Arabidopsis thaliana: one gene and its partners. The protein of the gene in region 2 interacts with the protein of the main gene of each other region in a pairwise test. Each region holds a gene or a part of one and is shown on either strand. Other genes may lie near its edges.

Evidence for each region.
Region 1: the proteins of AT3G54120 (region 2) and LCV1 interact in a two-hybrid assay, tested with the Arabidopsis thaliana proteins (one large-scale study listed by BioGRID).
Region 3: the proteins of AT3G54120 (region 2) and SWAP70 interact in a two-hybrid assay, tested with the Arabidopsis thaliana proteins (one large-scale study listed by BioGRID).
Region 4: the proteins of AT3G54120 (region 2) and ATFP8 interact in a two-hybrid assay, tested with the Arabidopsis thaliana proteins (one large-scale study listed by BioGRID).

Annotation. Positions count from the first base shown.
Region 1 is NC_003071.7:8,689,235-8,694,491, forward strand, and holds LCV1 (uncharacterized protein), read right to left. Parts: upstream 3,257-5,257; 5' UTR 3,001-3,256; coding exon 2,872-3,000; intron 2,524-2,871; coding exon 2,471-2,523; intron 2,395-2,470; coding exon 2,285-2,394; intron 2,203-2,284; coding exon 2,035-2,202; intron 1,946-2,034; coding exon 1,848-1,945; intron 1,707-1,847; coding exon 1,580-1,706; intron 1,466-1,579; coding exon 1,380-1,465; 3' UTR 1,059-1,379; downstream 1-1,058. Other genes in the region: COV1 (CONTINUOUS VASCULAR RING protein (DUF502)), read right to left, coding at 1-87; RPT2b (AAA-type ATPase family protein), read left to right, coding at 3,502-3,975, 4,056-4,301, 4,704-4,873, 4,978-5,194.
Region 2 is NC_003074.8:20,040,171-20,044,595, forward strand, and holds AT3G54120 (Reticulon family protein), read right to left. Parts: upstream 2,171-4,425; 5' UTR 1,964-2,170; coding exon 1,894-1,963; intron 1,792-1,893; coding exon 1,611-1,791; intron 1,547-1,610; coding exon 1,335-1,546; intron 1,248-1,334; coding exon 1,099-1,247; 3' UTR 956-1,098; downstream 1-955. Other genes in the region: PUMP1 (plant uncoupling mitochondrial protein 1), read left to right, coding at 52-150, 242-346, 430-507, 591-677, 782-826; AT3G54130 (Josephin family protein), read right to left, coding at 2,725-3,312, 4,005-4,259.
Region 3 is NC_003071.7:13,141,688-13,148,288, reverse strand, and holds SWAP70 (Pleckstrin homology (PH) domain-containing protein), read left to right. Parts: upstream 1-2,228; 5' UTR 2,229-2,570; coding exon 2,571-2,594; intron 2,595-2,706; coding exon 2,707-2,814; intron 2,815-3,021; coding exon 3,022-3,083; intron 3,084-3,175; coding exon 3,176-3,259; intron 3,260-3,353; coding exon 3,354-3,385; intron 3,386-3,493; coding exon 3,494-3,575; intron 3,576-3,837; coding exon 3,838-4,066; intron 4,067-4,307; coding exon 4,308-4,535; intron 4,536-4,617; coding exon 4,618-4,910; coding exon of another isoform or gene 4,911-4,914; exon of another isoform or gene 4,915-4,990; coding exon 4,991-5,363; 3' UTR 5,364-5,624; downstream 5,625-6,601. Other genes in the region: AT2G30890 (Cytochrome b561/ferric reductase transmembrane protein family), read right to left, coding at 1-58, 387-515; GSTF10 (glutathione S-transferase PHI 10), read right to left, coding at 5,897-6,351, 6,521-6,569.
Region 4 is NC_003074.8:3,708,140-3,713,792, forward strand, and holds ATFP8 (Ras-related small GTP-binding family protein), read right to left. Parts: upstream 3,479-5,653; 5' UTR 3,259-3,478; coding exon 3,245-3,258; intron 3,164-3,244; coding exon 3,091-3,163; intron 2,979-3,090; coding exon 2,931-2,978; intron 2,847-2,930; coding exon 2,799-2,846; intron 2,726-2,798; coding exon 2,654-2,725; intron 2,462-2,653; coding exon 2,306-2,461; intron 1,973-2,305; coding exon 1,869-1,972; intron 1,454-1,868; coding exon 1,351-1,453; 3' UTR 992-1,350; downstream 1-991. Other genes in the region: AT3G11720 (Polyketide cyclase/dehydrase and lipid transport superfamily protein), read right to left, coding at 54-193, 363-461, 542-582; AT3G11740 (LURP-one-like protein (DUF567)), read left to right, coding at 4,288-4,497, 4,773-5,003, 5,107-5,250. UniProt on the Arabidopsis thaliana protein: Protein transport. Regulator of membrane traffic from the Golgi apparatus towards the endoplasmic reticulum (ER).

The DNA of each region.
Region 1 (5,257 bases), on a different chromosome or scaffold from region 2:
TTTGTCGCCGGAATCAGCGACGGGAATCAGAAGCTCTCGATCTCTTTCTCGATTGGCCATAACAATCACCGGCTTCTCGTCTCCCATCGCCAAGAAACCAAAGAGACAAGGAAATCTAGTCGGAGAAAAAGAAAGAAGAGAGAAATGCCGGTGAACTGTGAACGGCGGAGAGGAAAAAGGCTGAGACTTTTGCCGGCGACTGTTCTTTTGTAGCTAAGCTTAGCTAACTCCAACTTGAGCTCTCTGTCGTTTTTGGATTTTTCTTTTTATATCTGTCTTCTTTTATTTATCCTTTTCTTAATTATAACATGATTAATTTTTGTTTCAAATTACTGTATACAAATTATTTTCAAAAGATGAAAAGATTAATTTTATTGTTGTGAATTAATATATCAAAAATTTATTTGTTCTACTTGAAATCATATACATTCATCGTAAAAATAAACTTTACAATAAATATTTTATTATCTAGAGTAAAACATTTTTGATTCTTAAGCAATATCAAAACAATTCCATCATATTTAAGCAAAAAATAACTAATTATAGTATATGTTTTAAATGATTTATACTGTAATATTTATTATTGTCATTTTTGTTTGTTACATACGTCTTCGAATTATCACATTAAAAGAGAAAATTATTCTAACGATTATATATTTTCCCAAGACTGCACCCAATGTTAAATCTGATATGGAAAATAATTTTCTTACAACTTTCAGATTTATTTTAAATATAAAAGTTAAGCAAAAACTATAATATATATATATTTGAGATTTCTATATGAGATAAAGTTCTAAAATAAATTAAAGTTTACAAAGGCAGAGAAATGAAGATTCATAATTAGGTCAGGTGCTAAGCACAATCCTCCTCTAAGAAAATTTTGGTCGATACATTTTTAGCTGCAGTATTTTATTTCACCATAAGAATTAGTAACATGTTGGAAACAAAACGTACCTGAGATCAAAAGAAGAGCTAGACAGAGAAATGTTAGACCATTTTTTTCTTCGATCAACAATGTCTCTCTATATATACCACATTTTATACTATTCCCTAATATGTAAAACGATATTGCCATTTGTCATGTGATTATTATTAGGGTGGGATTATCTTTGATTATCTTTTTGTTATAAAGTCAATGCGACAGTAATATGAAAGACACAAGGACGCGGATACAAATTATAATCTATAAGAAAAGAAAAAAAATTATTTTTAAAAGGGCTAAAAGAAAACAAGGTTATTCAAATAATATTGACAAATTACACTTCTCGACAAATTTTTCTGTGTTTTTTGGTTTCTCTATTCGCTCAGATTTTGTGAAACGTCTCTTCTGATTTTTTATTTTTTCCTATCGATCGGCCAAAGGTTTTTGAATAGTCACTTTAAGATTCATTTCCAATCGAGGCCAAAGGTTTATCAAGAGTCGATAGAATCTGCGGCATTGACATTCCCCCGGAAACAACAATCTCTGCAGATGAAGAATGAGTATACAGTGTTCAGTATCTTTCCACAAAATAATTTGAATGCTATATAACAAACGATAAATGTATCTAGTATAGACAATTAGATTCTGAAATCTCACCAATTCCTTCCCGGACAGAGAGGTTTGGCCTGATAACGTCATTACTGTTGACAAGTAGTATATCTCCAATGTAAAGGTGGTTCGTGGGAACGTATACACAGCAAAGTTCCTCCTCGGTTGGGTAGTTCTGCAAGAACGAATAGCATTATTACATTGGGTAAAAAGATTACGAAATTATGGTAAACCATATAACTCGAAATTGTTTGTATCCTCAAGGAGACGTTCTGGAAAGAATAACAAAATCCTTGAGCAAAGTATTTTCACTCACCTGGAGAACAACAGTTGATGTAATGAAGCCAAATGCATATTCACCTACACGGGGATGCCTGATGATTGCAACTTCCTTGAAAGCTTGTGTATTTTGATCTGTGATGAGAAATGGATAAGAACAAGATGAGATAGGAGATCAACTTAATGTTGAGAAGCAAAACAAGATTTTTATAAGCAAGCTAGACCAGGCGATATGGCAGTGCTGATTTGCTTGGAGGCGTTGTAGATGTGACGAACAAATGGCATCCGCTTGATAAACCACTCTCCCAAGTTCAGAACCGATGCCCCCAACCACGAAGACATGAACACCCCAACCAAGAAGATGAATGCAATGGAAGTCAAAAAACCGAAACCTACAAAACAATAATCAAACTCATTGTGGGAAACCGATATCAAGTTGTTAATAGGATAAAGAGGGGCCATTCAAATTCTTACCAAATATGTTGATTCCAAGTAGTGCATATATTGGAGAGAAGAATCCATCGACAAAGTGAATAAACCACCATGTTGTATAGAAAGTAACTGCAATAGGAAGTAGGATAACACTGCAAAAAGCAATGGAGACTTAAAACTAATCTGTGGAAGTTTTCATCAAATGCCAAAATTTCAACTCTTCCTTACCAGCCTGTCATGAACTTCTTTGACGCCCAACCCCTAATGAACAAGCTTAAAGTCTGCAGAAAAGAGCTAAAGCATCAGGCCACAATGCTCTATAAGTTATACATGCTTGAAAACATGAATGAGCATAATACAAAGACTCAAGAATCTGAATGATTCCAACCACAACAACTTGGAATGCAAATTCATACTCTACTCAATCACAACTACCAAACTTATCTAAGCAAGTGTTCTTGTGATATACTGAATCTAGGGCAAAACAAGTTCCAAGATTTTGAACTAAGGGGAGACAGAATCGACCAAATCTATGAATAACTATCATCCAATTCTACTGTTAGTTTCGCATGAATCTTGAAATGAGAAAACGAAGAACACGTTTTTAGATCAGGTGACAAAAACTAGACCTCGTGGCCGGATTGATGCGAAGAAGAAGCAGAGGAAGAAGAAGAAGGCTTCGAAGAAGAACCATCGTCTTTGTCGCCGAAATCAGCGACGGGAATCAGAAGCTCTCGATCTCTTTCTCGATTGGCCATAACAATTGTCGTGTAAAGAGAGATAAAACCCTAAACCTAGAAACTCACCGAGAGTTCGAAGATTGTAAATCACAATCTAGAAGCTAGTTGCGAAACAGAAGAACCACCTCGAAGATCCTGAGATTTGATGATGATGATTGTGATGATGATGAATGACAGATAGAGAAGACGATGAAATTGATTTTTGATTCGATTTCCCCAAATGGCAAAAGAAAAGTTCCTTACCTGTACCGATTGACCGTACCAACTACCAAACCAACGAATTGACTTTTACAAAACTTAAACCGAAATTAAAGATAATTAAACCGAGTTATTGAACTAAACCAGATAATAGCTTAGGTTGAATCAGTTTTAAAAAAATTTGCGATACCTAAGGCCCACTAAGTTTTTCACATCGTAAAAAGGCCTAAAATAATAAGCCCACTTTAATCATCTCCTCCCGTTATCAGATTAAAAGATTTGTTTCTCCGAGAGCAAGAAACCTCAGAGAGACGAAGCACAATGGGTCAAGGACCTTCCGGCGGATTGAATCGGCAAGGAGATCGGAAACCAGATGGTGGAGAGAAGAAGGAGAAGAAGTTCGAACCAGCCGCACCACCTGCTCGTGTAGGGAGGAAGCAACGGAAGCAGAAAGGACCTGAAGCGGCGGCGAGATTGCCGACGGTGACTCCTTCTACTAAATGTAAGCTTCGATTGCTGAAATTGGAGCGAATCAAGGACTATTTGCTTATGGAGGAAGAGTTCGTAGCGAATCAGGAGAGATTGAAACCTCAGGAAGAGAAAGCTGAGGAAGATAGATCTAAAGTTGATGATCTTCGTGGTACACCTATGAGTGTTGGCAATCTTGAAGAGCTTATTGATGAGAATCACGCCATTGTTTCTTCTTCGGTTGGTCCTGAGTACTACGTTGGCATTTTGTCTTTCGTTGATAAGGATCAGCTTGAACCTGGCTGCTCTATTTTGATGCATAACAAGGTATTGAGTTTTACAATGCTCTTCCATGGAAACGTTGAACCAATTCTTCTATGTGATATTTTTTATTATTTTTGTGATAGGTACTCTCTGTTGTTGGGATTCTTCAAGATGAAGTGGATCCAATGGTGTCTGTGATGAAAGTGGAGAAGGCTCCTTTGGAGTCATATGCTGACATTGGAGGTTTAGAAGCTCAGATTCAGGAGATTAAGGAAGCTGTTGAGTTACCTTTAACACATCCCGAGCTGTATGAAGATATTGGAATTAAGCCACCAAAAGGTGTGATCTTGTATGGTGAGCCAGGCACTGGGAAGACATTGCTTGCTAAGGTTCGTCTTTTAGCCTATAGTGTATCCATTATATAATAAGCTTTCTAGTTGTTAATTGCTTAATACAGCACATAATGGTACTTCCCAAGTATGATTGGTTTTATGTCAAGTCATGCATGCAAAATTTTCTGTCTTTTATCAATCTTCACTAGAAAGATGAATTAGTCAGGACAGTGGCTTCTTTGGTTTGATCACCTAGAATTGAGATATTAGATCATAGTACTTGTGTAGATAGAGGAAGATTTTCAGAGTCACGTGGATTGATTTAATGTCTTCGTTTTCTTTTTGTCTATGTCGCAAGCATGGATTGTTGCAGTGTGCCTCTTTTTAATGTGTCTCTTATGCTTGTTAAATTCGGAACTGTTGGAGATGAGCAAGTGTTATTTCTTGTTATTCTTTCAGGCAGTGGCAAATTCTACTTCAGCTACTTTCTTGCGTGTTGTCGGTAGTGAACTGATTCAGAAGTATTTAGGAGATGGTCCCAAGCTTGTGAGGGAACTTTTCAGGGTTGCTGATGACCTTTCTCCTTCTATTGTTTTCATAGACGAGATTGATGCTGTTGGCACCAAGCGGTATGCCTAAATACAACATAAACATGATCCATTGATAAACAATGTTCTTGATTTTGCTCAAGAGATGGTATCTAATATGTGATATAAAATGGTGGTTGAAACAGGTATGACGCAAACTCAGGTGGGGAACGTGAAATCCAAAGAACCATGTTGGAACTACTGAACCAGCTTGATGGGTTTGATTCAAGAGGAGATGTTAAGGTTATTCTCGCGACAAACAGGATCGAGAGTCTTGACCCGGCACTTCTTAGACCAGGCCGGATCGACAGGAAAATCGAATTCCCTCTTCCAGATATCAAAACAAGAAGACGTATCTTCCAGGTTCCACAACTGGTGATCCTTAAGTTTTCTTTCTTTTTTTGTGAATTTTCTAGAAAGATCTGA
Region 2 (4,425 bases):
GCATAAGTTGCTTCAACTCTACTTCATATCTTATTAATGTGGCTCTGACAGGAAGGAGTCCGAGCTCTTTGGACTGGTCTTGGACCTAACGTAGCAAGAAACGCTATTATCAATGCTGCTGAATTAGCGAGTTACGATCAAGTGAAAGAGGTATGAAACTAATATGTTCTCTGTCTCTCTTTCTAAATAAGAGATCCTGATATTTGAAGCAACCAACATTCCTTTTTTTTTTTGTGTTCAGACGATCTTGAAGATTCCGGGTTTCACTGACAACGTTGTCACACATATTCTATCTGGACTGGGAGCAGGATTCTTTGCTGTCTGCATCGGCTCTCCTGTCGACGTGGTAAAGTATTTACTCATGACATTGAACCTTGAGTTTATTCACCACGTTTCCTGATTGTCTACTTAAATCTTGTTGTGTGGCAGGTTAAGTCAAGAATGATGGGAGATTCTGGTGCTTACAAGGGCACCATTGACTGCTTCGTCAAAACTCTGAAGAGCGACGTAAGCAACTCTGCTTCTGATACCTCCATTGTTCTAGATATAACCCAGAAAATGTTACAAACTCTTTACGGTTTCCTCTACAGGGTCCTATGGCATTTTACAAGGGTTTCATCCCCAACTTTGGACGCCTTGGCTCATGGAACGTAATCATGTTTTTGACCCTCGAACAGGTAACAACTGATAGAATTTTTATTTTATCGCAATCGCATTCGAATCGGTCACGCAAAGTCTTCTTTCTCATTTTCTAATCCGGGTTCTTAATACTCTAATCCAGGCAAAGAAGTATGTCCGGGAACTCGATGCGTCCAAAAGAAACTGAGACACATAGTTTTAAGCAGAGGGAATAAGAGCAACATTGTTTTCTTCTTCATTTTCGGTGATTGAGAGAGGCCAGAACTTGGTCGAATATTGTTTTCGGAATAGAGATTCAGTTTTCGAGTAAAACTGTGAAATAAAATTTCTGTGGATTGCTCATATATTGGCTGTACCATCCAACATTTATCAAAAATCATACATTTTTCTCCTTTCTTTCCACAAAACCGAGAAAAATCAGAAAAAGAAACTCCTGAAGAAGAAAGAGGTGACAGCATCTCAGCTCAGTTTCTTATTTTCCGGATTAGCCCATATCTCGAGTCTAAGGTAAAGCTCTCTAGTTTTGTTGCAGATAAACTCAATAGAGCCAACAATGTAATCCTCATATCTCTCATAGAAAGCTGGAACCGTCATAACCACCAAAACGCCTGCCAAATTAACCAAGAACAACCACAAAATGAATATCCAGCTCAAAAGCATTCCAAGTCTATAGGAGTTTTAGAATATCTACTTACTGGTGTGGCAAAGTGTCTGAAAATCCATGAGACTTCCGATCAATGAGAGAAGAAACAGTGACACTGCTACTTTGGTATACAACTCTGAGTCTCTTGCCATTGCAATGTCATGCGAAACTTGGAGTAGCTTGTTCACATGAATACGTAACCATATCGAAGCTTCTTCCGCCATCGCTTCACTTATTTGAAACTCCGGTAACGGCGGTGATGGCCTGAAGAGCCAAGAAATTGAATCAGAAATGAAGTAATATTAGTTACAAGTGAATATTAATATACCTGTTGAGAATGGAAGCAGATTTGGACCAGAGGAAGAGAATAGAGAGCAAGAGAAGAAGAACACTTGAAATAAGAGTAAAGATAGTGTAAGCAAATGCCTCAAACACCATCCATGAAGCTATTGTCACTGTAACTATACCAACACTCACATTCTTCTTCCTCCACAGCATCACATCTGCAACTGCAGATTCATTTCATAACAAGAAAAAAAAAAGGCTATAGAGGTGAGAGATCACCTAGCTTTTATAAGTTTTGGATTTGGTAAAGAAATGTATTCACTAACCAATGCCTCCTCCCAGAATCTCATGTATTGTCCTGTCTCTGTTGAACAACTTGTCCGAAGAAGAACTCATTTGAGAAGAAAGATCAGAGCAAACTTGGATTCAGATTTCCTCAGATGATCAGATCCCAAAAGTAACCCAGATATGTATATCTTTCTCTGAATGTCAGAAACAGATCATTATGTGAAAGGAAATCCTAAAGGCTCGAATCGAAGGAACCTGATGTATCACAAAGAAAGTAAAAATAAAAAGTGAAGAAGAGACTAAAGTTGGGTCATCACCATCATCATCAAAGCCATCAACTTTGAATATACAAATAATTAATTAATAATTCAAAGGCTATGCTCTGTTTAGGGAAAAAGAAGGTGTTTGTTGTCCTCTCGATGTTTTTATTTCCAGCCTAAAAGTGTTATCCTTCTTGTTTTTTTCAAACTGTAAAAGTTCGCCAGATTGTACTTAGAGATGAATCAAATTTTACACCATCCTTTTATATTTTCCATAGAACACATTTAAATTGGTCATTCATCTACTTTTAGTCAACTGAAGTAATTTATGTACCCTTTTCAGATGTAGTTTCCTATGAATTCGAAAAGGTCGAATCTTTATCCTCAATTTAAGATTGTCAGAAGAATTTAATATGGTAAAAAAATCAAACAAAAACAATTCCACAAACCATTTATTATCCTCTGTTTTCTATCTTTCGATGTAAGCTTTTTTCTTTCTCTGTTCTGTATGTAAAATTGTTGATAACTCTTGATAACAAACCAAAACAAAGAAACAAAAGTGAATATCCCACCACCTCCATCAATAACACTTGTTCTCTATTTTCTCTGCTACTTTTGTTTCTCAGTTTCCTTTTCAGAAGTGCCCACAGCTCCGAGATTGGCCTCAGCAGCAGAAGCATCAAGCAAACTTGCTGCAATTGCTGCCTTCAAGTCATCATCTTCCATCTCTGAAAAAGCCTGCACTTCCTCACGTGACAATGCCTGATTCCGTCTTTGTTGATTAACATTGTCATTACTTCTCTTGTTTCTGGCAGAAGAACCTGAGCTCGTGTTCTTTCTTATTCTCTCTGCGTCTTCAGGAGAAAGCCACTGCCCGAAACTATTGGAAGCTTCAGAAGAAGACGACATGGGACATTCCTGAGGGAAGTTTCCTTTCACTATGAAGATACTCCATCCTGCGCCTTTGAGAGAGTCTAAGAACGCAGAAAGGTAGAACTTCGATAAATGTTGCGGGGCAGCAAGGAGACTATCAAAGTTATACCATTCGCCATTCACTTTCCTTATACAAAACCAATGGTCATGCAAGTGGCAGATAAAGGCGCTTTCAAGCTCAGGGTCTATCTGCGCAGGCTCTGCATCTGGACAATTGAGTGGAATTACTTGTAGATCCCACACTTCCAAAGCTTTTTGCAAGACCTGTCAATCAAACAGAAGCATTCTCAGTTAAACGAATAAGCAAAGACTAGATCAACTTTGCAAGATTAAAATGCTACACCAATCGCATAAACCCTCTGTTTGCAGTGTTTTATCCGCATCCAACTTCAACGTAATCCGTTAAAATAGCTTTAATTTTAGATATCTAAAAATGTGATGTAAAACACCATACTATACCCTTGAATCTCAATACATAAATCTTGCAATCAAACCTGACTTTTGTAGCAACCTAATCAAATATCAAGTTATCAACCAACTCGGTTTAAAGCTATCCAAGAAACAAAAGATGATAATTGAATATACAGAACCTCACTAATAACTAACATATCCAAAACAATTGAGTCCCAAGATAAAAAAAATCATCTCAAGTTCCTCCATTTATCAGCATAGCAATGTTCGCACAATGAAACTAGCCTTCAACAAATGAGTTTTAACCCAAAGTAAAGATCGCAAATTCACACCATTACTGATCTCAATTCTTCTTGAATCTATCTAAAAACGAATCCAACCATTCAAAAGTTTATCACTTCAGCATAAACACAGCAATCAAAAGCACCATAAAATCGAAACCCTAATTTTGCCTAAACTTCCAACAACACAATAACAAAAAGGCTTTACAATATATAAATGTTGAATGCAACTCAAGATTTATCAATTTCATCGCGAATTCGTACCTGGATACTAAAATCGCCGCCGAGGGAAACATTGTGCGACTCTTCAGCTAAGAAATCGCCGGGAGCAAAACCTCCAACGGCAGCACCTTCAAGCATAACCTGACGCTCCTTCCCGTCTAGATCGGCGGCGACGGCAGCCAAATCGAATTCAGAGAAGAAAGGCCCTTGCAACACCGTGTTGACGCAGTGTACGGCGCACAGATTTGACTCTTGAACCTCGTGATACAACATTCCTCCGTTGCTTGTTCGTTCCATCGCCGATTAAGATTTGAATATCAAAATTCACTGATTTTGCGATGAATATATTATTATTGCTCCGATGCAAAAGTCTCAAAGAGATTGTGAAGCGAAGATGAAGATGAAGATGAAGAAAGAAGAAGAAGAAGCAAGTTAACAGATTATTTAAATAAGAAAATGTAAG
Region 3 (6,601 bases), on a different chromosome or scaffold from region 2:
CTGCCCAAAGCATAAAGCCATGCACTTTGATTTCGTACACAAGCTTTGGATTTAGTTTCTGTTCAAGAAAAATAAAAATAAGAGCTTCATACCAATATATATTCAGAGTTTTTGATTAAAGTTATTAACACGCAGGCATTTTATACAGAGAGTAGGAAAAAAAAACTATAACCTTTAAGCATCATGGAATAATAATATGTACATGACTTACATACATTATAATCATGCGATGATAAATAAACTCAATAGGTTATAAGATCAGAAACAAAGGAAATGCCTGGAGCTTCATTGTAAAGATTTATCAGCTATATCAATGAGATTATGAAGAGTTTGAGATTATTAGATTTTAATTAGGATAAGCGAGAGAGAAAGAAGAGCATACGAACCTCGGAGATAGGAGAAGTTTCGACTGGACCATTGACATCAATGGCCAAGCTTCTGGTGTTTTCTTGGGAGGAGCATAGGGGAAGGAGGAGGAAGAGGAGAGAGACTAAGAGTTGATGATGAATCTCCATGACTTCATGTGGTTTGAAGTTGAAACAATAAATACAAAGTTTAGAATTGATGATAATCAATTCATGAGTTCATTTCATAAGTATAACTGTTAAAGTTTGTGTGTATCTAGCTCTTTGTAAAGAATTGGATGACGGTATATATGGAACTTGAATACTTGATCCACTAGTTTCTTAGCTATAGATAGAAGAAGAGAAAAGAAAAGAAAAGTTTTAGAATTTGCTTTTAGAGTGTAAAGAAATGTGATAAAAAGAAAAAAAAAAAAAGTTAAGCTCGCAACTTTGTTATATAATATGGTTTTGCATGGAGGTTGATGGTTTATTTTACTAGTATCTCTGAATTTAAATGAAGAAAAGCAAGTGGAGGAATGGGCAATCGATTTGATATAACGAACTTCATTTTTGTCAATCTTAATTAGATGTTAATAATGATGTTTTATATCTAAAAAGGACTATATATATATAATTTGAGTATTGAATTTAATTAATGAATGTAAGAAAAAACAGAAGAATATTCAAGTGGATGTCACTATCTCTGCGACTCTACAGCACTTTTGGTTTTCTATGAAAAAAAAAAGAAGAAACTGAAACTGAAAATTCCTTAAGGTCAGATTCATCCAAAAGTAGAATTTTAATGGACTTTTATGTTTTGTGGAAGAATGTCAGATTTTGCAAGGGAAAGTGAGTCATGGCAGGTTGCACTAGCTCATAGACCACTAACAATATGTTACTGTCAACAAACATCATGATTTCACTATGGAAGGTATACATGAATGACCACATCACATGGATATATATTTTCTTATTTTCAAACACTAATCATAAGAACATACCAAATTTTAGATAAATGGTCAAACTTATAAATGTCAAAAGGTGTCCAAATTCTGTAGTATATTATATAGTAGAAGTTTCTTCTTATTTTGGAGATTGAATATAAAGGAGCCAAAAAAATATGGATTTTGATAGCTTCTTAGACGTTTCATTTAGGAAATATATGCATGGTTGGGTTGATGAGAATGCCATAGAAGTGAAAAACAAATGAGAAAATTCATACAAAAGGAATCTACATACGTAGAATAAAGCAAGAGGACCACTTCACGTTTTGCAGCTTTCCCACTTCAGTTAACCCCAAAATTGAATATTGTCTTGGCTTACATGTCTACTACTCTTTTGCTTTGATGCTTTTCAATCCATTTCTGTATCCCCAACAAGTTGTTGTGTTTCCTCCTCCTATGTAGTTATCAGCGCCTAGCTATTAAGGAAAGAGTATCATCATATCACATATGATTACTCAAATCTCATATATTATTGAATATTATGTTATGTACTTATATCATGTTTCATTACGACCATTAGGGAAGTTGTAGTACATTGAAAATCTTGAAGATTAAGAGAAAGTGTAAAGCTGTGTCTAACGCATCTATGTTTGAAGTCCCTGTGAACTAAGTGTCTAAGTCACCACTACCAAGCGTCGAAGCTAGTACGCAATATTTCACAATCTTGCACACATTTGAGATTAGTTGGGCAAAGTAAGAACTCTGCTCTCTCCTAAACGATTGGCTTGTTACAGCCCGGCCCATTGATGTTCCTTAGCCCATCGTTTATGTAAAGCTTCTCCCTTAACAAAGCCTACCTTCTACAGATCTACTTAATCATCCTCATAACCAAAAACAAAACAAAAGAATCATGTGATGACACCTCCACCGTCAGATCAAAAACCATAAAAATGAAGTGAACAAACAAAAAGTGAGAAACTCAAGAACCGGTTCATTTGACGAGTAAGCTGATCCAGTATCGTACCGACCGGTTAAGTTGATTTGATCGCGTTGAAAGAGTGAAGACAGATTCAACTGCAATTCCGCGAAACCAAACCTAACAGCATTTTTCTCCAATTCCTTCTTCTTCTTCTTCTTCTTCTGTAACCTCGTCTTCTTCAGCTTATACTCATAGCTATACCAAAGAAAACCTCTTAAAACCCTTCTTCTCTCGATCCATCGATCAGCAACAATTCACTTCTAATCGATCAAGAGCTTTCCGATCTCGTCGATCCCAATTAACATGGCTTCCAACGGCGCTTCTCCGGTCTTTTTCTCTCTTGATCTCTGTGTGCTACAATTTAGTCTCTTTCTTTTGGCTGCTTTTCTCATTCACACTCTTAAATTGACCCATTTTGTCAATTTCTGAAAATGCGCAGAGAATTGTTGATGCTACTGAGAACAGCTTGGATAAGATCAAGCGACAATTGGCATCTGGCTCTGGTCGGAACTTGCTACAAGGACCTCTTTTCAAGCGATCTGAAACTGTAAGTCCAATTTTTTTAAGTGAAAATGATCAAAACCAGTTTTTGCTTTATTGATTGGGATTTCTTAGTTAGCTCAAACTAAGAAGACTCTCTGATAGCTCACTATTAGATTTCTATAGCTTAAACAAGTCTTTTGGCCTGAAATGTCTTGGCTTATTCAAAGGTTCACAATGATAATATCTTTTGTTTGTGTTTATGTATGAATAGCTGAGAAAATGGAACGAACGATGGGTGATACTTGATCCAACAACAGGGAAAATGGAGTATAAGTGAGTTATATCAATTTGCTTATGTAGCTGCATTTGTGTGTAGACCACTTCATCATGGTTTTATTCATTTCTGATGTATTTCCATGACTCAGGACGAGGCGAAATGAGCCAACTATCAAGGGAACAATTTTGTTTGACGAAAATAGCACAATCTCCATCTCTCCTGTCAACTTCCAGTATGGATGCTACATTCTTTTTTTTGTTGCTCTGTATAATCATCATTATTTGGTGTCTGTTTGTATCATTGACTTTGTTTCTTTTGTGTTTCAGGGGGCTTCCAAAATATAATGGTTGCTGTATTTGTATCCTTGGTTTTAGTAAAATGTTGGCATATTTATAATTGTTTCTTTTGTCTATAAGGAGATAGTTGATTGGAATCTAGAGTTGAATTTTCTTCAACTTGATATAAGATATTGGTACCCCACAGAAGAAAGATTACTTTTTGTGTGCAGAGACTCCTGGTGCAGCTAAAGCTTGGGTCACAACCTTACAGTAAGTCATCTGGATCTTCATCTTTTTGTTTGCTTCTCTTTCTGTCCTTTTTATTTACTTACCATTCTCTAGAGAAGCCACCCCGCTTATTTCATCTATCTTAAATAATTCATAGTTGTGTTGATTTAATGGTTTCGTCGTCGACCATGTTGAAAGAATCATCTTTCTCTCTCTTTTTACGTTTCTTACTGAAAATGTAATACCTTCTAAATGCCCCTCAAAAGCCAATCTGATAAACCTTATCTTTCTTTGTTCGTTCCAGTGCGACACAGCTAGTTCTAAAGGCCCATAAGGAGGCTGTCGAATCTCTAAGTGGAAGTGGTTCTGCAACACTTGGTACCGTTGCAACCGTTGTTGCCGCTGCCAATTCAACAGCATTGGAATGTTCCAGAGAAATTCAAGCAGCAATGCAGATCTCTTTGAGGAATGCATTGAAAATAACGCCAAATAAACCGATTGATGGACCACTAGATGATTTGACAATAATGAAGGTGTGGTATCTTTGCATCTCTCTTTCTCTTCGAATTTGGGAAACTTTTGTGAATAGCATATTGACATCCTTTGGCTGTTGAGATTCTGAAATGTCAAGATGAACGATGAAAGCATATAGGGACACCTTACAGGAAACTCTGCTTGTCAAGGATGAAAATTAACAGAATTAGCATAAATCTTATTCGTCCATCTTCATTCTAATGTCCAGGTTAACCTTATTGAGCCACTTACATCTTACAGGAAACTCTGCGTGTCAAAGATGAAGAATTACATAATTTAGCCAGGGAACTTCGTTCTCGTGACTCAATGATAAAGGAAATAGCAGATAAGCTATCTGAGACTGCTGAAGCAGCTGTAGCTGCAGCATCTGCTGCTCATACAATGGATGAACAAAGGAAAATCGTTTGTGTGGAATTTGAGCGCTTGACTACAGACTCACAGAGACAGCAAGAAGCCACAAAATTAAAGGTAATGAGGCCATGTCATATATAGATACTTTTGCATCCTTGTGTATGTTTTGTTGTTTATTTGATCTTTATCTCCTATGTAGCTCAAGGAATTGGAAGAGAAGACCTTTACTTTGAGTAAGGAAAAAGATCAATTGGTTAAGGAAAGAGACGCTGCTCTCCAAGAGGCACATATGTGGCGGTCTGAGCTTGGGAAAGCCAGAGAGCGTGTTGTCATACTTGAAGGAGCTGTTGTGAGGGCCGAAGAGAAAGTGAGGGTTGCAGAAGCAAGCGGTGAAGCAAAATCAAAAGAGGCTTCTCAGAGAGAAGCAACTGCTTGGACAGAGAAGCAAGAGCTTTTAGCATATGTGAATATGTTACAAACTCAGCTTCAAAGGTGAGCCTATCTGAATCTATCTCCCAGGGAAACTCATGACTTTTGAAGGGTCATAAATCTCTTTATTTTTGAATAAACAGGCAGCAACTAGAGACAAAGCAAGTGTGTGAGGAGAAGACTGAGTCTACTAACGGCGAAGCTTCTCTTCCAATGACAAAGGAAACAGAAAAGAATGTGGATAAAGCATGTCTGAGCATTTCAAGAACAGCCTCTATACCGGGAGAGAATGTAGTCCATATGAGTGAAGAGCAGGTAGTAAACGCTCAGCCTCCGGTGGGAGAAAACGAATGGAATGATATTCAGGCAACAGAGGCAAGAGTTTCTGATGTAAGAGAAATATCTGCAGAGACTGAACGGGACAGAAGAAACAGCTTGGATATCCCGGTAGTGTCTCCTGAACCTAACGTTCCACGCAATGATCCGCCTTCCGAATCATTTCATCACCAGCCTTGAATAAAGATTGGTAGATCTTCGTACATTTTAATATACTCTTTGATGGTCTGGTAATGTTTGGAGAGTTGATTCTTCTAACAACAAAAAGAATTTGTCTTTTTAGTTTTCTTGTACATTCAAGAGTTGTTATGTATCTGCCGCTCTTGAATTTGTCTGACTAGGGAATGATTCTTTTTCCCTTTTATTACAACATGAAGAACAGAGAGATATGTGTTAAACTTTGACTTATGTTTTTGGATTCATATAAACCAGTTTTCATATAAATGCAATCCTTCAACAAACCACGATGGTTGTGATGTTAGTACCAGTTTTATCAAAGACCTACACTGAATAGAGGAATATACATGGGTTGAGTCACTCTGATTTTAAACTCTTATTGAAAAGCTTGAAAAGTTACAGAATACAAGAAACCAGAGACAACAAATGAGACAGAGTTCCGTTTCTTATTGAAACAACAAGACAATCGACCCGAAAACGAACTCCCTCAAAGAACACAAAGCTCACACAAACCCCCCAAGTCAACATCTCCTTGTTTAAACAGGTAGTGAGTACTTAGCGGAAACCTCCTTCCACGCAGCACGGCTACTAATCTTATCCCACCAAGCGCTAACATGCTTCCTATCTTTGATCAAATGAGCCTTCCCAATAGGACCAACAAGATACTCGGTGAAAGGAAGGTGAGCCAAATCAGCTAGACTCACAAAATCACCAGCCAAGTATTCGTTCTTAGAAAGCTGAGCTTCATAGACATCAAGCACTTCTGCAAGCTTCTCTTCACTCTCCTTAATAACTTTCTCATCAGCAGGGAAACCCATAAGTGGTGCAAAGACAATGTTGAGCGTTAAAGCCAATAGTGGTGGATGGTAACTTGTAGCCTCAACGTCTAACCATTGCTCTACTTGTCCTCTCTCTTCAATAGTCTTCCCCAAAAGATCAGGTCCTTGTGATCTATACTTCTCTGCTATATACCTCATGATCGCACGCGACTCTGCAACACAAATCGAAATCTCTTCAACACTCATTTACCTAAACAATCTTTTCCAAACAATCAAAAAAATCTCAAAGATCATGTGATTCATTGATCATGATCGCAAATGATCAGATCCATTATCAGATCATGACTCGTGTAGTAGTAGCTTAAAAGAGAAGAAGTGTACCGAAGATTTTGTAGTCTCCGTCGACGAGGACTGGGATTTTACCGAAAGGCTGCATCGATCGGAAAAAGGGATCATGATCGG
Region 4 (5,653 bases), about 16 Mb from region 2:
TTGTAGCAAAGGCAAAATTAAAGAGTATATAGCAAATCAACAACAAGAAAAACCTTCATTGAGTTGTTTTCTGACTAGGGTTTTAAGAGTTTGCTCATTAATGAGCTCAGGAGACGACAAGGTCTCATTAAGTCTCTCTCTGTACTCAGAAACATCTCGTTTCTTCTCCATACTCAATTGAATCAGCAGACACCTTTAGAAAACAAATTAATCCTCAAATCAAAGACCAAAGAGAATCAAAGATTGCCCTGAATTTGTGGAGTCAAGATGAATCATGGGGAAGAAGTGAGAAGAGAACACCTTAAAACGTAAGGCAATTTATAAGAAAGGAAGCTTTTGGTTATAGTTTTGCCAGACAAAACCCAGCTGCTGATGCGTAACCTACGAGACGGGCAAGGAACGTGGAGATGTTTTTCCCGATTAGAAGATACTTTCCCTCATTTTCTCGGGAATATACATATCTGGAGAATGTGAAGAAAAAGTCTCATTACCAATAATAATAAGAATTGGATTTGACAAAGTTTGAGAGTCTGTGTCAGACTTTATTTTAGAGGGACCAGGTCGGTTAACTGTCGTTGTCATGAGATCTTTCCTGTCTGTCTTTTTATCATTCAAACAAAAAAAAATGAATTTATAAAACTTAAACACAAACAAATAAGATCACTTTTGATTTATTTTATTTTTTAAATAAGGATGTGCAGGAATGAGATTTTCTTCTAAAATTGTGGGAGTAAATGAATGAATCTAGGTATGATTGATTTCATCAAAATCAGAAAACTGATTGTTTCTAGAAAAACATGCATTTGGGGTATTTTGAAACCACATGAGTATATGATGAGTTATTATAAACTAGAATTGCGTTGTAAACGAAATAGAACAAATCTTCTTTTGGAAATCCGTATACTTTAGCGTAAGAAAATGGAAGAATTTGATTTGGACTCGTATCTTTGAAGTATATATAATTCAGCATTTACATTATTGAGATTTATCTCTCATATGTTGTTTTTGCTTTTCCTCATTCTATGGACTTAGCTGCAAGTTTTAAATATCTATGGTAATGAACATGGTCCAGCCTATACAGCAACGAATATCTATCACTATTTTTAATATATATACACAATCAAAATTCAAAACCATGAGTTGCTTGCATATCCCTGTGTGGTCAAAGTCAAGACTGAACTATATTAAAGAGAAGTATCTTGCAACTAACACCATAGCTTATTCAAGACACAGCGACATGGAATATTACATTTCTTAGTTGTTTTAAACAGCCATTGGTTTTCACAACACTTAGTTAAAAAGGAAGTAAAAAAAGAGTCTCAGATAGTTTTGATTAAAACATTTTTTAAACTACTGACCGCAGCAACCGCCATTGTTCTGTTGGATTGGCTGACCTTTCATTTGGACAGTTCCAGGACCAGATGTCTTGTTTGCATTCGTTTGGCTTCCCATTCTGCAAAGAAAATGAGTTACGATATGATTAGACTCAATTCTCCATGTTACATAAACTAGACTGAATCAGCAAATGTCGATACAAGATATCAACCATATGGAAAATCTATCAACAGAAGTTAAGTACACAAGCTTGAGGAAGCTACAAGGATACAGCAGTTAGTTTGTTGATTTGCTTTCCATTAGTCATCAAGTCTAGAATAGCACACTTCGGATTTGAAACTTTACATGAATAGTTTATTTCATGAAAACAGTGGAGAATCAAGATGCTTTGCAGCAGAAAAAAACACAGAGAATGATTTGATGTATATAATGGTGATCAAGGAATATAGTAATAGAACAAGTTTACTAAACCTAATCTATGTTAAATCTTCGCAGAAAAAATTATGGCGAAAGATTAAAGATAGTGAACATACTTCTTTTTTATCTCGCCAGCAATAGTTAAGAATGCCTGTTCAACGTTAATAGAATCCTTGGCACTGGTCTCAAGAAAGGGAATTCCAAGCTCATCTGCTAAGGCCTGCAGTGATTTTGAGTAGATGAAATGTAAGAAAACCAATTCACAGTTGTATCAGGAGTAACAGCTGCTGCAAAAATAAGCAATTTCTACTCGGTGGATTCAGATCATCTAGCTTTGGGAATTTGGTCAGAGATCATCTACATTCATAGCCGTAAATTCTGGTATAACAATCTCAATGGTTGTAATATCATCACATGGTTAAAGATATGCGAAACCATGAAATGATCAAATGAGGAAAGGGGAAAGTACCATGCAAAGGATGTTATGCATAAGATAGAAGCAAAATCATAAATGGAAAAATTGCTGGGAACTTAACTAGGGATGTGAGCTTACCCTTCCAGTTTCGGTGGAAACAACTTTGCTTTCAACCATATCATTCTTGTTACCGATTAAAAGCTTGCAAACACTCTCATTGGCATATCTATCGATCTCACTCAACCACTGCTTCACATTGTTGAAGCTTTCCATCTCAGTACAGTCATAAACAATCTGTTGCAATTATCATCATTAAGGTTCATCACTTAAAGGGTGGATTACAACATTAAAATGATTCATATTCCAACATTACAATACCAATCTCAGACTAAACCACTTAAAATGAGAAATGGAAATAGGGACATAACACTAGTCTAGGTAAGCCAAAAAAAAGCAAGTAAGAAAGCGAATATAAAGATTGCTCACAATGATTCCATGAGCTCCTCTGTAATAGCTGCTAGTGATGGTCCTGAAACGCTCCTGTCCAGCAGTATCCCACTAAAAGAGAGCAGCAACAGTAAAATTGAGTAAACACAATCATCCAAAACATATTATATAATTGAAAACTCACAATTTGCAGCTTAATCGTCTTCCCATCCTGCTCAATCGTCCTAATTTTCTGCAAAACCAACCACATTATAAGTAAGTTTGGGATAAAACAATCTCGATCATGTATGTAAACAAGGTCAAAGAATGAACTTACGAAGTCAACACCAATGGTGCTTATGTAGCTGTCAATGTAAGCATCATCCTAGAAATAGCAACAAATCCCAAAATCACGAAACAGTACAAAAGAAGAAACCTAACACGAGCTAATTCTCGACGACGGAATCAATTAAGAATCAAAATCAAGTCAAACTCACAGCGAATCGGAGAAGAAGACACGATTTTCCAACAGAGGAGTCACCGATCAACAAAAGCTTGAACAGATAATCGCTACAACAACAAAAAATCGAAATCGGTGTGAGTAAAATCGAAAACGAAAGAATGGCTCTCAAGGAGGAGAGAAACACTTACTACTCGTTGCTCATGATTTAGCTGAAGACTGCGTTTCCGAGATTTGATTTTCCAAGATGAGAACAACTTTCCGGGAAAAAGCTCTTTTTCTCTATAATATAAGAAACAAAAAAAAAGAGAGGTTTGGGTTTAGGGGGCGTGTCAATCAATTTACATGAACATTGAACCCCACGACTTCTACTGGATTTTTTTGTTCCCAGTTTTTTTAATATTTGTTTAATTCCTTGTTGTTTTTCCCGAGACAATAAAGAAGCTTTGACCTTGTCTCACTGATTTCTTTACGTGTGTGTGTCTTCTTATTTGGGCTTTTTGATAAATGGGCCGAGCTCAAAATCTTGTCTATCTAACTTAACCGTCGTTAACGTCCTGGCCCTGTTATTAAAGGTTTGGATTTTATTACTCATGTATATGTCTCAATTTTTATTTTTATTTTTTTAGAGAAGATAATTTTACATAAATTTGATTTATAATCCGTGATCAAGATGTGAGGAATTAAATATAATGAAGTATTTAAAGCGGATTAAAAAGGTATATTGAAAAAGAAAAGAAAAACTTTGATTGAATATGCATGGATTTTCCAATTTTATATGACAGTATATTTTATCAACAAAATCATTCTCTTTTTCATACTCCATTCATATCATTTTTAATTAAGTCATATTAATCCTACCAAAAGTTACCTTCTAATTTTACGTTTCTTCTAATTTCCTTTTCTGGCAAAAAAGAAGATATTTCCTCAATTTATAATATTTTTTTTCCATCAAACTATTTTTTTTTATATAACCAAAAAAAAAAAGTGTAGTAACGCTAACGTGTTTGCAGCTTGCAACTTGGCTAGCAGATTTAAAATAAGATAAGTTCTAAAAATAAACAAAACATATATAGCCAAAAACACAAAATTAAAAACACGAAGATTTGTTTCACACAATACTTGGAATATCCTAATTATAAATAACTAAAAAGATTGAGAAACGAACACAAATCTCCACCTTATACAAGAATCGTAAAAGAGAAAAAAAAAACAGAGAGAGATCTTCAAAAAGATGGCGATCGTTAGCCCTAATTTCTGTGCACCGTACCCTATCGAGTTGGGAATCGTACGGAAGGTGATGACTTTAACCGATGGTAACTTCGCCGTCACGGACGTTAACGGCAATCTCCTTTTCAAAGTCAAGGAACCTTTGTTTAGCATCAGCGACAAAAGGATTTTATTGGACGCATACGATACTCCAATCTTGACTTTGAGAGAAAATGTAAGTATACGTCTATCAACTACAATTCTTTATAACTTGCATGGAGAGGCACAATTTTTTCATGGTGATACAAAAAAAAAATTTCATTATGCAAATCATATATACACAAACATGCTCTTATAACTTGCATGGAGGTACACTTTTTCAATACGTCTATCAACTAATTGTAAATAATATCAAAATCATCATCACTCATTCGAGTATGTTAAATCGTCATAGATCATCCAATAAAATCTGATCCACAACTTTTTTTTCTTATAACATAAAAATTGTAGAAGGTGAGCTTGCATGATAGGTGGCTAGTATATAGAGGGAAGAGTACAGACCAAAGTGATCTATTATACACATTGAAACGATCTTCAATGATTCAAATAATGAAGCCAAAACTAGACATCTTTTTGGCTCATAATAAAGAAATGAAGATTTGCGACTTCCATGTTAAAGGAAGTTGGATCGACCGGTCTTGTGTCGTCTACGCCGGCAAATCTGATGCCATTGTTGCTCAGGTAATTACACTGATCAAATTGTCTGTAAATTGTATAAACCGGACTAGCTAGTTATATGATCGTGTTAATTGAGTCATTGTTGTTGTTTTGTTGTTTTTTTCAGATGCACAAGAAACATACGGCACAAAGCATATTAATTGGGAAGAGTAATTTTTCGGTTACTGTCTATCCGAATGTTGACTTTGCTTTTATAGTTTCTCTCATTGTAATCCTCGATGACATTAACCGAGAAGATTCAGAAGACTAGATTAAGTTATCAACTAATTTCTTTTTGTGCGTTGCAAATCTAAATAATACTCGAAAACATAGTACAGTATATGTTAATTATTACAATATTTTTAGTGATTTATTTCACCAAGGCCTATCAATTTATATCATTATAATAGTGAAACCGTATTTAAGAAAATGTGCGAAAGACAAATCCAAACTTTTTTGTGGAGGTAGACAAACATCTTCAGGTATCAAAAGTCTCAAAACTTAGTTTTACCATCTCTGAAGTTTCAGCCATTGGAGATTCCTTTAATAGAATCTAAATGGGGGTGGATAAAGAAATGATATGCCAAAGTGATGCGTCAAAAAACATACTCGGATCTAAATATGGCAACATGTTGGGTGATGATGAGGAATTGGAACATTACTTGTCCCCATTT